Drosophila melanogaster: one gene and its partner. The protein of the gene in region 2 interacts with the protein of the main gene of each other region in a biochemical or structural test. Each region holds a gene or a part of one and is shown on either strand. Other genes may lie near its edges.

Region 1 (5,051 bases), on a different chromosome or scaffold from region 2:
TTCTAACGCAAAGCATGAGTATCTTCTCTCTGCATCGCTGCATAGCCAGCAATAATAAAATACAGGCTTCGTGCTGTCTTCTTCTCGTCGGAGCATAATTCCTGCTATTCCCAGTTTACTCTCATCAGTGTGTACTTCTTTACTGGGTGAACACCGGCTTCGTTGCTAAGGCTTCCTTTAATCTTCTCCCCATACGAACTCCACATCCTTTTTCAATAAATTGCTCATTGGATAAGCAATCATACTGAAAGACCATAGGTTCGTTCACCAGATCAAAGGGCATCACATAAAATTAATTCAGTCCACTTGGTGTCATAAATGCCGTTAAATGCTTGCTTTTCTCGTCCATCGGGACCTGGTAATAACCAGAGGTCCAGCGTCTTGAAGTATATGCTTCCGGATAGCAGGGCCAATTGTTCCTCTACGATTGGCATCAAATAGAGCGTTTAAAGCCCGGTAGTCCACGCATAGGCACTCGTAATGGATACCACTATAACCATCGTCGTCGTCTTGCACCTGCCAATTTTCGATCCAATCTTTTTCAAAACATTCTTCATAGGATTTTAACAGATTGTTAATGTTCGTATTAACGTTGAGTTGACCGTGTCGATGAACGCTTTAAACTTTTGATCTCCAATCAGAACTGTTTTTACTATTGGCGGATACTCCTTATGTTTTGCCTCATGCACTTGAGCATTCTTTGACGATGTTTTCACCTTGCAATCCTGTTCATTATGCCCAATCCTAGAACATTTGGAACACCGTTCATTTTGCTGTTGCTTTTCATTGCTGTTACCTTGTTCAAGTGCGTATGTCCATTGCTAATAAGGCTTTCGTGAGTTCTTGTGAATTAAGTCCGCTGAAAATATATGAATTTATTGATGACTCCCACGTCGTCCGATACATAACATCGCATAAAAGTATTCGATGAATGACTCGCTATTGCGTCGCTATCGTCGCAATAAATCTCTTTGCACATCGGCTGTATTCATCACACTTGGAAAATCAAGTGCGAATGCCGATTTGAATGATTTTGAATGATCGATATACCTGCTGTGCATTCATACATGTTTTTGCAACTCCACGCATCTCCTTTAAATCATTGATTTGAGTTTGCATACTTGTGCTTGCGTTTTGATCCAATATTTCGTAAACATCAGTATCAATTTCATCATTTCCTAGTTTCGTCATCAATTCGTTCACCTTTGCCGGTTTTGTTTCCTTTGATTTGGATATCATGAGGCCGCAGGATCACGTCAGTAAATCACTAATCTTTAACTAATATTTATTTTATATATATAAATTTAATATTTGTATTGTGCATGAATCTCCAATGAGGGCGTCCAGCTCGCTGGAGAACGTCAAAAAGTTGACCACGCCGGGGACCGTGATCCGCAGTACTTTAGGTAGACGGCGAGTAGGTGGGGGTGCGCCGGGAGCAGGTGTATTAATTATTGCAGGCTTCAGTTTGCCAAGATCGATCGCGGCTTGCGAAGTGGGGGGGCATCCTTATCTGCAGGGCGATAACCGCACAAATCGTTTATAAGCCTTTAGCGACTGCAAAGGCGTGTTCCATGTGTTATTTTGGGGAAAAGAATGGAGTCGCTTTTGTGGCGTACTTCTTGGCATGCTCTAGGCAGAACCGGGGAGATCGGTGAAATGGATATGTGTGGATATGCAGTGGATATGCTTGATGTGGTCATACTTGTTGTATTGAAAGTTGTGATTTCCCACGGGGTGGAGATAACAAGGCATTCGCCATTGAGTAGTTGGGCTTGCAGTTCTGATGATCCTACATTTGCGATTGCCTTGATTTCGTCGAAGTGAATTGATTTCCTTAGTGATAGATTAATATTTTCTTCCATGCCAAAAAACTTTTAGCCACGCATACTCAAGCGCGCACTCTAAATAACGGGTATCTGGAGGTCGTTAACCTCTGCTCTAGCATTCTGTCTTTTTTAAATTAGGATCGTTACGATCGTCAATGTTTTCTGGTATCTAAGATATTTAGTAATGGCTTTCTTATGAGGGATTGTATTAGAGTTTTTTTAATAAGTATAAATTTACATTAATAATGCGTTTTTCGCTTTCTTTCTATTTTATTTTTACCAATATTTAAGCTTAACAGCAATGTTATTTTACTGTAATTAATTTGCAAATTGTTTTTAAGATTTTCTAGTGCTTGTAATTTAAATTAAATTATTATGTATTTCTTGCATGTGTTTGTCTTTCCTTAAAAAATATAAGAAACCAAAATATACCTACATAGCAACTGAAATTAATACAGATTTATCGTAGTTAAATAAAACAAGAGTGAATGCTATAGTCGAGTTCCCCGACAATCAGATACCCGTTACTCAGCTAGTGTGAAAGCAAACCCGAAATTGCATCATTTTTCTGGGAATTCGATAGATATTGGGGAATAAAATGAAAAAAATTAAAAATTGGTCCAAAGTGGTTCGGGCCAAGACCGGTTCGGTGGCTTTAGGGCGTTAGAGTGGGCGTTTCAAAAAGATTTTTTGCAAATCGATAGAAATTTACCAGACAAATAAAATTATTAAAATATTACTATTATTAAATTACTCTACGAGTAGTGATGATCAATAGCCAAGTCGATCTAGCCATGTCCGTCTGCCCGTATGAATGTCGTGATCTCAGAAACTTTTAAAGGATGTGTTGATATTTTTTGCGTTTTTATTAGTCTTGTAAATTTCTATCTAACGCCCTAAAGGCGCCGAACCGGTCAGGCCCATACTTTGGAACAATTTTAAAATTTTTTCTCATTTTATTCCTCAATATCTATCGATATCCAAGAAAAAATTTGGAGTTCGCATTAACACTAGCTGAGTAACGGGTAGCTGATAGTCAGGTAACTAGACTATAGCATTCTCTCTAGTTTTTGATTATTATTGTAAGCTTTTATTCGTGGTCATATATCAAAAACCAATTATTAAACTGTATTTCCATTTAACATTATACAAATCGATTTATTTTCTTGCGAAAGATTTCAAAAATAAAAGAAACCATCGAAATCACACTAGTCCATACTGTTTTTACAAATAGTTTTGACATGCTAAATTTATGCCATGCCATTTTTAGGCCGTGTTTTGCTTGCGATGTACACAAAAAAATATATGCATTTTCTTTTGTAGTACCTGACTTTTTAAATAGCTGTTAGAAGAATAAAAACGAATATTTTTCCCGTATCTTTTGATACCAAAACACACAGAACTGTATAAATATTAAACACCAAATTGAAACAAAATCAGGTGGTTCAGCTATGACACTTTTAGCCTTAAACACGTGCGCGCGCAGGGCTTATACGAATGTTTAAGTGTATTATTTATATTGTTCCCACCAGGAGAAAACGCAATAGTCCACTTCCTCGACCATCAAATACCGTCCACTCCCGTGACTAATTAATACCCGTACTCTTGATGATATGATACTCCCAGCTACTCTTGATGATATTCCGAATTCGAATAAACAGATGTAATAGTCTGGAAATGGAACAAGAGAGATTGCTATAGTTGGTTACCCCGACTATCAGATACCCGTTACTCAGCTTGAGGGAATGCAAACGCGAAATTTCGTCATTTGTATGGGATATCGATAGATATTGGGGAATGAAATGAGAAAAAATTTAAAAAAATATGTTTGAAAGTGTGGGCGTTACCGTTTTGGGCGTTGTGTAGGTGAAAGGAGGAACGTGGCCACAGTGTTTGGTAAAAATTTGAAAGACAAACAATCTCCAACCAATCTCTTTGTTTTTATAGGGGATGCATTTTGAGTAGACGTCAATACAGGATAAATATTCTTTATTGTCTAGCATTAATATCAATAACGTAAAGTTCTCTTCAGTTTTTTGTCTCTGGAGTTTAAAAATAAGTTTCGTTGGTCTACGTACTGTTTTTGCAAGATTGCAGACTTTGAAAACATCAATGATTTTTTGAATATATGTATTATAGTCGGGAAAATAGTGGGTTTTTTCAAAAACTCGTATAATTTTTTCGATACCTTTATGTGTTGAATTCAGCGTAATAGTTAATGTCCTTTAATTTAATTATAAAAACTGTTACGTTGCTGTTTGGGTTAATAGTTTCAAGACTTTTTATAAAATATTTTTCTATTTACAGATACATAGATAGTGATAGATAGATAGTGACAGTGACTTTTCCATTTTTCAAAGTGCGTATCATGAAACTATTAACCCAAACAGCAACGTAACACTGTGGCCCACCCCCCACTTTCAACAACAAAACGCCCACCCTTTTAAACAATTTTTAAATTTCTTAAAGGTGTAACGAGGATTATATTCAGTTCGTGGTGGACGCCGAACATAAGACCGAGAGCCTTTCCCACCAAGCAACACAATTTTGCTTTCATCTGACCAAAAAATGTTTCGCCACTTCTCCACAGGCCCGTCCTTGTGTATCTTGTCATATTCAAATTGCTTTGCCACATGCTTAACAGTCAAAAGCGGGACTTTTCTGGGGCTGCACGCATTAAGGTTGCTTTGTCCTAAGCGTTTGCGAACAGTTTCCACGCTTTTAGCTATCTGAAGCTCCTTCTTCCATGTTTCGTTCTTTTCGACAAACAGCAGTGCTTTGCGGATCATTTTGTTTCAGCAACCGACAATGCGACCAATTTCAGAGTAGGTTTTACCTTCAGAGATCATGTTTTTAATCAAATTTCTTTTTTCGACGGTACAATGCTTTCCGCGACCCATGACTAGAGAATTTTTGGTCTTCGTTTGGAAAAAATTCAATTAAAACCTTTAGTGCAACTCCGTTTTTCAAAATTTGTCGAAAAAAAACCAAAGTAATCACCCCTATTAATTTTATTCAGCAAATACGTGGTCAGTGCTATTTTTGTTACCGCCTCATTTTGGGCACTTTTGCAGCAAGTGCCCAAAAACAAAAAAGAACCGTTACATTGAAAGAGTAAAAATTTCTTGCTCAGAGATGCAACATATGGTACTTATTATTCATACAATCTGACTTAAAAAAAAAAATAAACATTTAATAATTTTTTTTACGAAATCAACTTTC
Region 2 (7,322 bases):
TTATAAGATAAATTAGTTGTTATACTAGGACAGCATCTAACGTGAACATACTCAAACTCAACCAATTGAGTTTCATAGCAAATACAACTTACATACAGTTCCCTTTGAGGTCTTCGTACTCATTCTTTAGATTTGCATCATGCAAGCACTCGAACTTATTTTCATCGCTTCCATCCCAACAGTCGATCTTTCTATCGCAATTTAGAGTTCCATTTAAACACCCACCATAAAAACCCTCCTCATCGCAGACCTTGCTATAGCATAATTCGAACCTTTGATCTGGCCGATCGGAACTTTCATCTGGCAAACAATTGCCAATTATTGTTTTTAGTATTAGACTTCAAGGCAAGCGACCCATCTAATAGTAAGGAAAGCAGAAATGTGCAATCCAATGATATAATAGGTATCTGTTAGTCTGTACTCTTTTGTATAAGCAAGAATCTCCTCTTATCAGTGCTTTAAACTCTGTTAACTATAGTATACTCACAGAATTAAGAGAGCTGATAAGACACGTATTAATGCAAATAATTCGCAGTGCACATTGTTTTATATAATACCTTTTATTACTGAAATTAACCATTTGATGTAGCTTACAATTACAATTACATATAATGTAGAATTATACACATCTCATATAATTTGGGTTCCTCTGCACAAACTCTTTGCATATGTATTGGTAATTATTGTTTTTCCATTAGACGAATTGAAGTTTTGATTGGACACGAATTGAAGTTGTATCTGCGATTCTCGCGAATCGCTATGTATGCTTGTATATATCCTTATGGTTGTATGCACGTAGTTATTCAATGAAGTTTAATGCTCTAACACTCAGTTTACAAAATATACGTAGAAGCGGGCTGATGTCTATATAGATCTGGTATAGTTTATAATTGTATTCAGTACACTTAATATCAGTAGTGGATAATGATTCGGTGTCTTCGTTAAGCTATGCTTTCATCGGGGTCTCCTCCATCCGTTGCCTTTAAAGGTAGTGCCGCTAGATACACCTGTAGTGCTTATTGCGTTCGGTTTGAGCTATTCGTGAGTGGTTATACTCTAGAGTATGTTATTGGTAATTGATTCCTACATGTACTATGCTGCTTACATTATTGTATTGTGTTGGTTTCCTCTCCGAATCAATGTTTTCTGACTTTTTCGATCGATTTGTGTGTGGTTTTGTAGCTTCTTGGTGCTAAGCATTCTGCTGCGTGTTCTCTCTAGATTCAATTTGGTTTAGTTTTATTTGTTTCATTAGTTTTAGTTATTTGTTTTTATTTTTAAGAGTACGTATAAAGTGTTAAGCAGTAAGCATCTATCTTTGCTTCGTTCTGGACAAAACTTTAAGAGCTTCCGGGGTGTGCAAATTTGATGTCTTGTATCCATTAAAGCGATGGTATACTTTAGGTCTTTACAATCAAACTAAAATATTCAAATAATTAAAATTAAATTGTACAGACATATGTATGCTTAAACGTTAGATATCATAAATATTTTATACAGATGTATGGTTAATAATATATCTTTTGAGGAAATCAACTTCAGTGGTGGGCACATTAAATATAACTTCAACTATTTGATATGAAAATCATACATGAATATATAGCAACAAAGTCGGTGTCAGTTTAAAATATATTGAGAATTCCCCTGCCTTGCTTATTCTCATATTTAAACATGTCTATATTGAGATGTTTCTGAATTATCTTACACTTACATGCACTTTTAGGGTCCTAAACATTTTCTAATACATTTAATTTAGTTAGTGGTTGCTTGGTAAATATTTCTTTTCTGCTTGTGGCGTTAACGGCCAATTATCTCGCATTAATCTTGCTTCAAACTCAAAGCAAGTGATCTCCCAGAAATCAAGTGAAATATAAAGTAGAAAGTAGAAAATAAACTCAATCAATATGCAATCATATGCCAAAAACCAAAGAGAAATTCATGGTGGCAACGAGGTCACATGACTCCCATTTCGGTTGCCTGCTCCTGCTCCCTTCCCCCTCATTAAGGGGCGCCTGCGCCCAGGAGGTTCCTGCCCCTCCCCTACTCGTTCAGCTTGTGCCACTCGGCGATCTGGCGGCGCGGCGAGTTGCAAACCTCGTTCCAGTGGTTCAAGGCGGTGCTGCTCGAGTTCGGGCCGCCCAGCTCCAGCCGACCGATGACCTGTGGAAATATCGAGCGTGCAATTATCCAGCTATTGGCATTAGGTCATCCCATGCGACTTACCTCATTCTTGGTCACGCGATCCCAGTCGAGCAGCATCAGTTCCAAAGACACACCCTCAAGACTGGCGCCAGCGCCCTGTAATTGAGATATGCACGTTAACTTATGATTCTTTAAAATTATTATAAAAGCTTTTCAAAAATAGTCCGTCCATGTTTAAGTTCTATGATAATTATACGAACACAAGAAAACAATTAACAATTAATCTATGCTAGGTAATTGATATGGTGTTTCGTTAAACTACAAACAAATAGTAAATGAATATACTATTACTCACTTCGGCGGCGGGAATATCGAATGCGAAGCTCTCGTTGAAAACGGGGCTCAGAGTTCGTTTCTTCACGTGCGTCTTCTTCTTGGCGATGCGTTGGCCATTGTAGAGGAGATATATCTTAACATACGGATCGGCCAGTCCGGTGACATCCATGCGCGGTAAGTTTCGGGCCTTCAGCAAGACGACGGTGAGGCGACCGGCAGCTGGTTGCCAGCAGAGGGAGATGAGCAGCTCCCCGCGACCCTGGGCTCGAATCTTCAAGCTCCGTGGCTGGATCTCTTTGCTGATGGACAAAGCCTCTTTGGAGATGTCCCCGATCTCGATGGAGGTCAATGGGCACACCACTTCGCCAATGACGTCGTCACGTGAGTATCGATCGAAGCTGAGGATGACAAAGTGCAGCGACATGTTCTGCAGGTCGTTCATGTTCAGGCCGTAGAAGGTGAAGTCCTCGTCGTAAACCGGGTTCCGGGTATTTCGCACCACCCGGGTCTTGACCTTGTGCTGCTTGTCCGGCAGCAGCTGCAGCTTGACATACGGATCCGTTGCCGCCTGAGTGCGTCCATTCATGCCAGTGGGAATATCTCCGGTTCCGCTCGATCCTCCCTTGCAGGGGAGTCCGCGACAACGGATGATGGACACCATAAGGGCGTTCCTTTCGGCCAAGTAGCGCAGCTTAAAATAGATGGTACCCAGCTTGCCGTACTGGTCGGTCACGGTCAGCTCCTTCCCGTTGGTCAGCGAATGGTCGTCCAGGGTAATGGTCACACTTCCGTTGGCGATCGTCTCTACCGGCGAGTGGTGAAGGCTGTTGTGCAGCGAGTGCTTCAACCCATTACCATCCACCACGGTCAGTTGATTGCCATTCTGCTGCTCCGCATGCTGGGCGGGTCCATCTCCCTCCTCGCTGTACTTGACATTCGGTTGCGCAATCGGGGAGGTGGACTGGTCCTGCATCGGCGACAGCAGTCCCATCTGCTTGCCTCCCGTCGGCGAGGGCGACTTCTTCAAGTAGTGCGGCGGCTGGCCGCTGGGCGATCGAACGGCGGTCGGTCGCCGGGTCGGCTGGAAGGGGAACGAGGCGTCGTGCTGGCTCTGTTTCTTGTTCCGGAGGCGCATCTGCCGGGCGCAGATGCAGGCCACTGACGAGAGGACAGCAGCCGCAGTCAGTCCCAGGATGGCGGGGACAACTGAAAGGACAACAGGTATGTTAGGCAACATATGCATAGTTTAGTTGTACCCAAAACGTTGTCTTCGATTGAAATATGTGCAAGGTGGTGATGGGACAATGTCACTAGTGTAACCTTAAAGCCATAAACAAAAGTAAAATTTACTCGTATTGTGTTGGAAGTTTTGAAAAACCCACTGTTAACTAGCACTAGCACCCCATTCCAGATTACATATATAGACGCTCAATATGCAATCTCAAAATTATATAATGGGATAATTAAAAGAATTTAAAACATAATAGAAAATTATATAGAACATTTTATCATTATAAATCTAATACCGAATATTAAATTTAAATATCCAATAATAACAAAAAGCGTTTTATTTTCTATCTTTTACTAATATCCGAAAACACAAAAGAAAACGTTTAATCACACTTTTGAATATGTTCTGTAATTAGTCACCGAAATGAAAAAATAGAAAGAACTTTTCTCCCTAACACAGCTGTGAGTTGTTTGTAGACTTCCTTTGTTATTAGAACATTAACTTTCGCCAATTCGTTTTGAGCTTATACATTTCACCCCAAATAAAAGAGCACAACAAATAACACATGTGCACGTATCCCCTTCGAAACCTGACAATCCAGGCACAAAGACCCGAATTAATTATTCATAGCCACCGAAAAAGTTTGGCACAACTTGTGTGCAACATTTTGAACAAGTTGCTAATGAGCAAATTGGACTGATCGACCACTAAGGTCGCATTGGATGCTGCAATATGGTATGGTACTTACTCGTGTCCATGACGCTGGCATCTGGGATATACTCTTCGGCCATTTTAAATGGATTTGGCTTAGCCGCTCTCAGCACGTTTCCACTCGATGTTCCTGGCGGCTGTGTGGAATAACAATTAGTCACGGTTTAAAAGTGAGGAGGAAAAGTTTTGCTGGCTGTCTTTGGATGTTTGCAACTTTCGGTGGCACGTGAAGAATTGCGTGCTTCGATTTTGCGCACAAATGTATGCTAGAGGCTTTTTCGTGAGCAGCAGCTGCCTGCTTTCTGCTCAGGTTATGCTGACGTTTGGCTTTTGTTGTTATTTGCATTACTTGAGGACACCCACTCAGGCACACTTTCTGGCAAGAGAGCGGGAGAGACACACACACACACACACACATATGAGCCACTTGGGTGCTCTTCTAGGGTCGCATGAATCATCGCAGCCCTTGCACACACGCACACGAAGTTTGCAGGTTTTTCAACTTCTGGAAACCATTTTTAATGGGAAGTCCCACATTTAGAAATGTTCCTTTCTTTCATTTAGGTCTTCGTAACGTTTTGAAAATATTCCCTTTTACTATCACTTCCAGTATCTGTATCTATTGTTTATTGCAGCATCAGAGATTCTCGGAAAAGCCATAGTAGCCACTTGATAGTTTTTACGTTTTCCTCGTAATCCTGTTTACGCCTACATTTTACTTGCTTGAATGTATTATAGCCTTACTTTTTTGTATCTGGTCCTGCACAATTAATATCCAAAAATTGTAATATTTTTCACATCCACAAATTGTGGAAAAAAAATCAACAACGCAGTTCTGCAGCCGTTCGACTTTATTTTGCCAGTGGCTTCTTAACTTGGCTGGGAAATCGTTAAACTCGCGCAGGCGCACGAGCAAGCAGCTTTTTGTGTGGGTTGTTTAGCCGAAAGCGGTGGTTGAAGAAACCTGTGACGTCTTAGCCGAAGTCAGGGGTGCTTAAAGAAAGTTTTACAACACTAGACCATATTCATGAGTAAAGGGTTGAGTAATAAAATACATAAAAAGTTATAAAAAGGTAAAATTTAGACCAATTTAGACCTACTCATTGCAAACACTCAAAAGCTCCCGGTTCAGACCAAGTTTCAGAGAGCGCAGCTTTGCGGCCAGCTTTAAGCTGTCTTTCGTTGAGTTCGAGCTTTTCGTCAGTTTAAAAAGACTGGCGCCTGCTGGTCAGAAGCTGAGTCGGTAACGGTCTGCGTCTGCGCGCAGTTCGAACAAGTTGAGAAAGAGACCAACAGAAAGCCCATCCAAGTGCAGTGATCAATACGGGTAACTGACAAAAACCCTAGAAGTCAGGGCTTAAAAACGATTTTGCAGCGCTGCCAGTGTTTTTGTGTGATAAAAAAAAGCGGCTCAGAAAAACTTGCTGACAGCAGATAGCACACACGTTTTTGTCGTCTTCGGGCCATTGAAAAATTTTCCCGAGGCATTTTCTATAAGGAATAAACAATTAATTCAATATTTAAAGCATAAAAGGAAACTAGACACCACATCACCGGACTCTACGATCGTAAGTTGATGCAATCGTCTTTATTTCTATTATTTGCTGCCTTTTCGGTTTTTGCACAACCCCAAAATCCAAAAATTCGCGATGTCCGTTTCTGGCATTGAGGAATCTCAAAAGATTTGGACAGCTTTTTGGCCCGAAGTCTGCTGGAAATTTGCCATTGTCATAAGCCCAAGAAACGGAATTTTGTTCGGTCTTCTGATGGCTCACGGCGATAAATTTACTGCACTTTGTTTGCAATAGCTCCAATTCGATTCGTTTGTTTTTCTGGCACAGAGCACAGTATGCCTCACGATTTCTGCTCTAGACACGTTTCTAATTTAGTTACTGGTTTATATTTCTTTTTCCACACATATCAAAAACGGTCACCCATTGTCTGCCATTTGACCACTAATCTGTTCGATTTTGTGCTCAATTACCCAGGGTATTATTCGAATGAAAAAGTGCCCACATTTAGGTGTTTTACGATACCAGCCAGTTCATTAAACGTCCATTGCAGTATTAGGAAATTAGCCCGGTTTCTCACCCGATTCCACCGCTTATTAGCCACCACCTCATTTTGACGGAATGAGTCGTATTGTAAAAGACAAACTACTTGCGCTTATTTATGTTGAGCACATTTCTTTCGATCCCAATTTCCGTTTGGTGCTAGCTTTGAAACCGACATATTCAGGCTAATAAGCCTACTTTTTTTTCATAAATTACGTTTGAGTCAGTATTATTTCTTATTTCAAACGATATTTCTATTAATATAAACAGAGGAGAAATATTTATAATCAATGATTAGTCATGACAAATATCAAAATCCCCAACAAATTAGTAACACCTTTCCTTTTAAATGAAATGAGCTGATATACACAATTTCAACGGAATCTCTAAAATATATAATCATTATAGTAAACATTACAGTCATGAAGAGGGTAGCAAAATAAAAAAAGTGATTCCCAACAAAATGTTAACTTTTGCAAAGGAGCTTTGAGCTAAAAACGCACAGGACTTACACATTTCTTTTGAACAAATCAACAAATAATTCCTATGCTCGCACATTTACACCTGAACCCATTAAAAAAGAGTTCGCATTTGTGTGCCTGGAAATAAGGTATCTCGATTTGCATATCGGATTCGATGTTCGTTTTAGGGCCTTTTAAATTCGCTTGTTTTTTCCATAAATTTTTTTATTGACGAGAGCAAATCAAATGGGGCGGCGATGATCCATCAACTTTATTGAGGGCAAACAGTGGCCAGCGAATGTGGAAGAAGGTTTCAATGTCTAGGGGGATCGGCGGGGGAAATGTTGGCTTAAACCAACATGGAGCAGGGTGCTTTGACCGAATGAC

Evidence for each region.
Region 1: of the proteins of Syt4 (region 2) and Snap25, one has a biochemical effect on the other in vitro, tested with the Drosophila melanogaster proteins (one study listed by BioGRID).

What each region holds. Positions count from the first base shown.
Region 1 is NT_037436.4:24,072,415-24,077,465, reverse strand, and holds the start of Snap25 (Synaptosomal-associated protein 25kDa), read right to left. Parts: upstream 3,287-5,051; 5' UTR 3,156-3,286; intron 1-3,155. UniProt on the Drosophila melanogaster protein: May play an important role in the synaptic function of specific neuronal systems. Associates with proteins involved in vesicle docking and membrane fusion.
Region 2 is NT_033777.3:7,264,031-7,271,352, reverse strand, and holds Syt4 (synaptotagmin 4), read right to left. Parts: upstream 5,289-7,322; 5' UTR 5,165-5,288; intron 4,558-5,164; 5' UTR 4,501-4,557; coding exon 4,458-4,500; intron 3,685-4,457; coding exon 2,498-3,684; intron 2,299-2,497; coding exon 2,224-2,298; intron 2,161-2,223; coding exon 2,041-2,160; 3' UTR 544-2,040; downstream 1-543.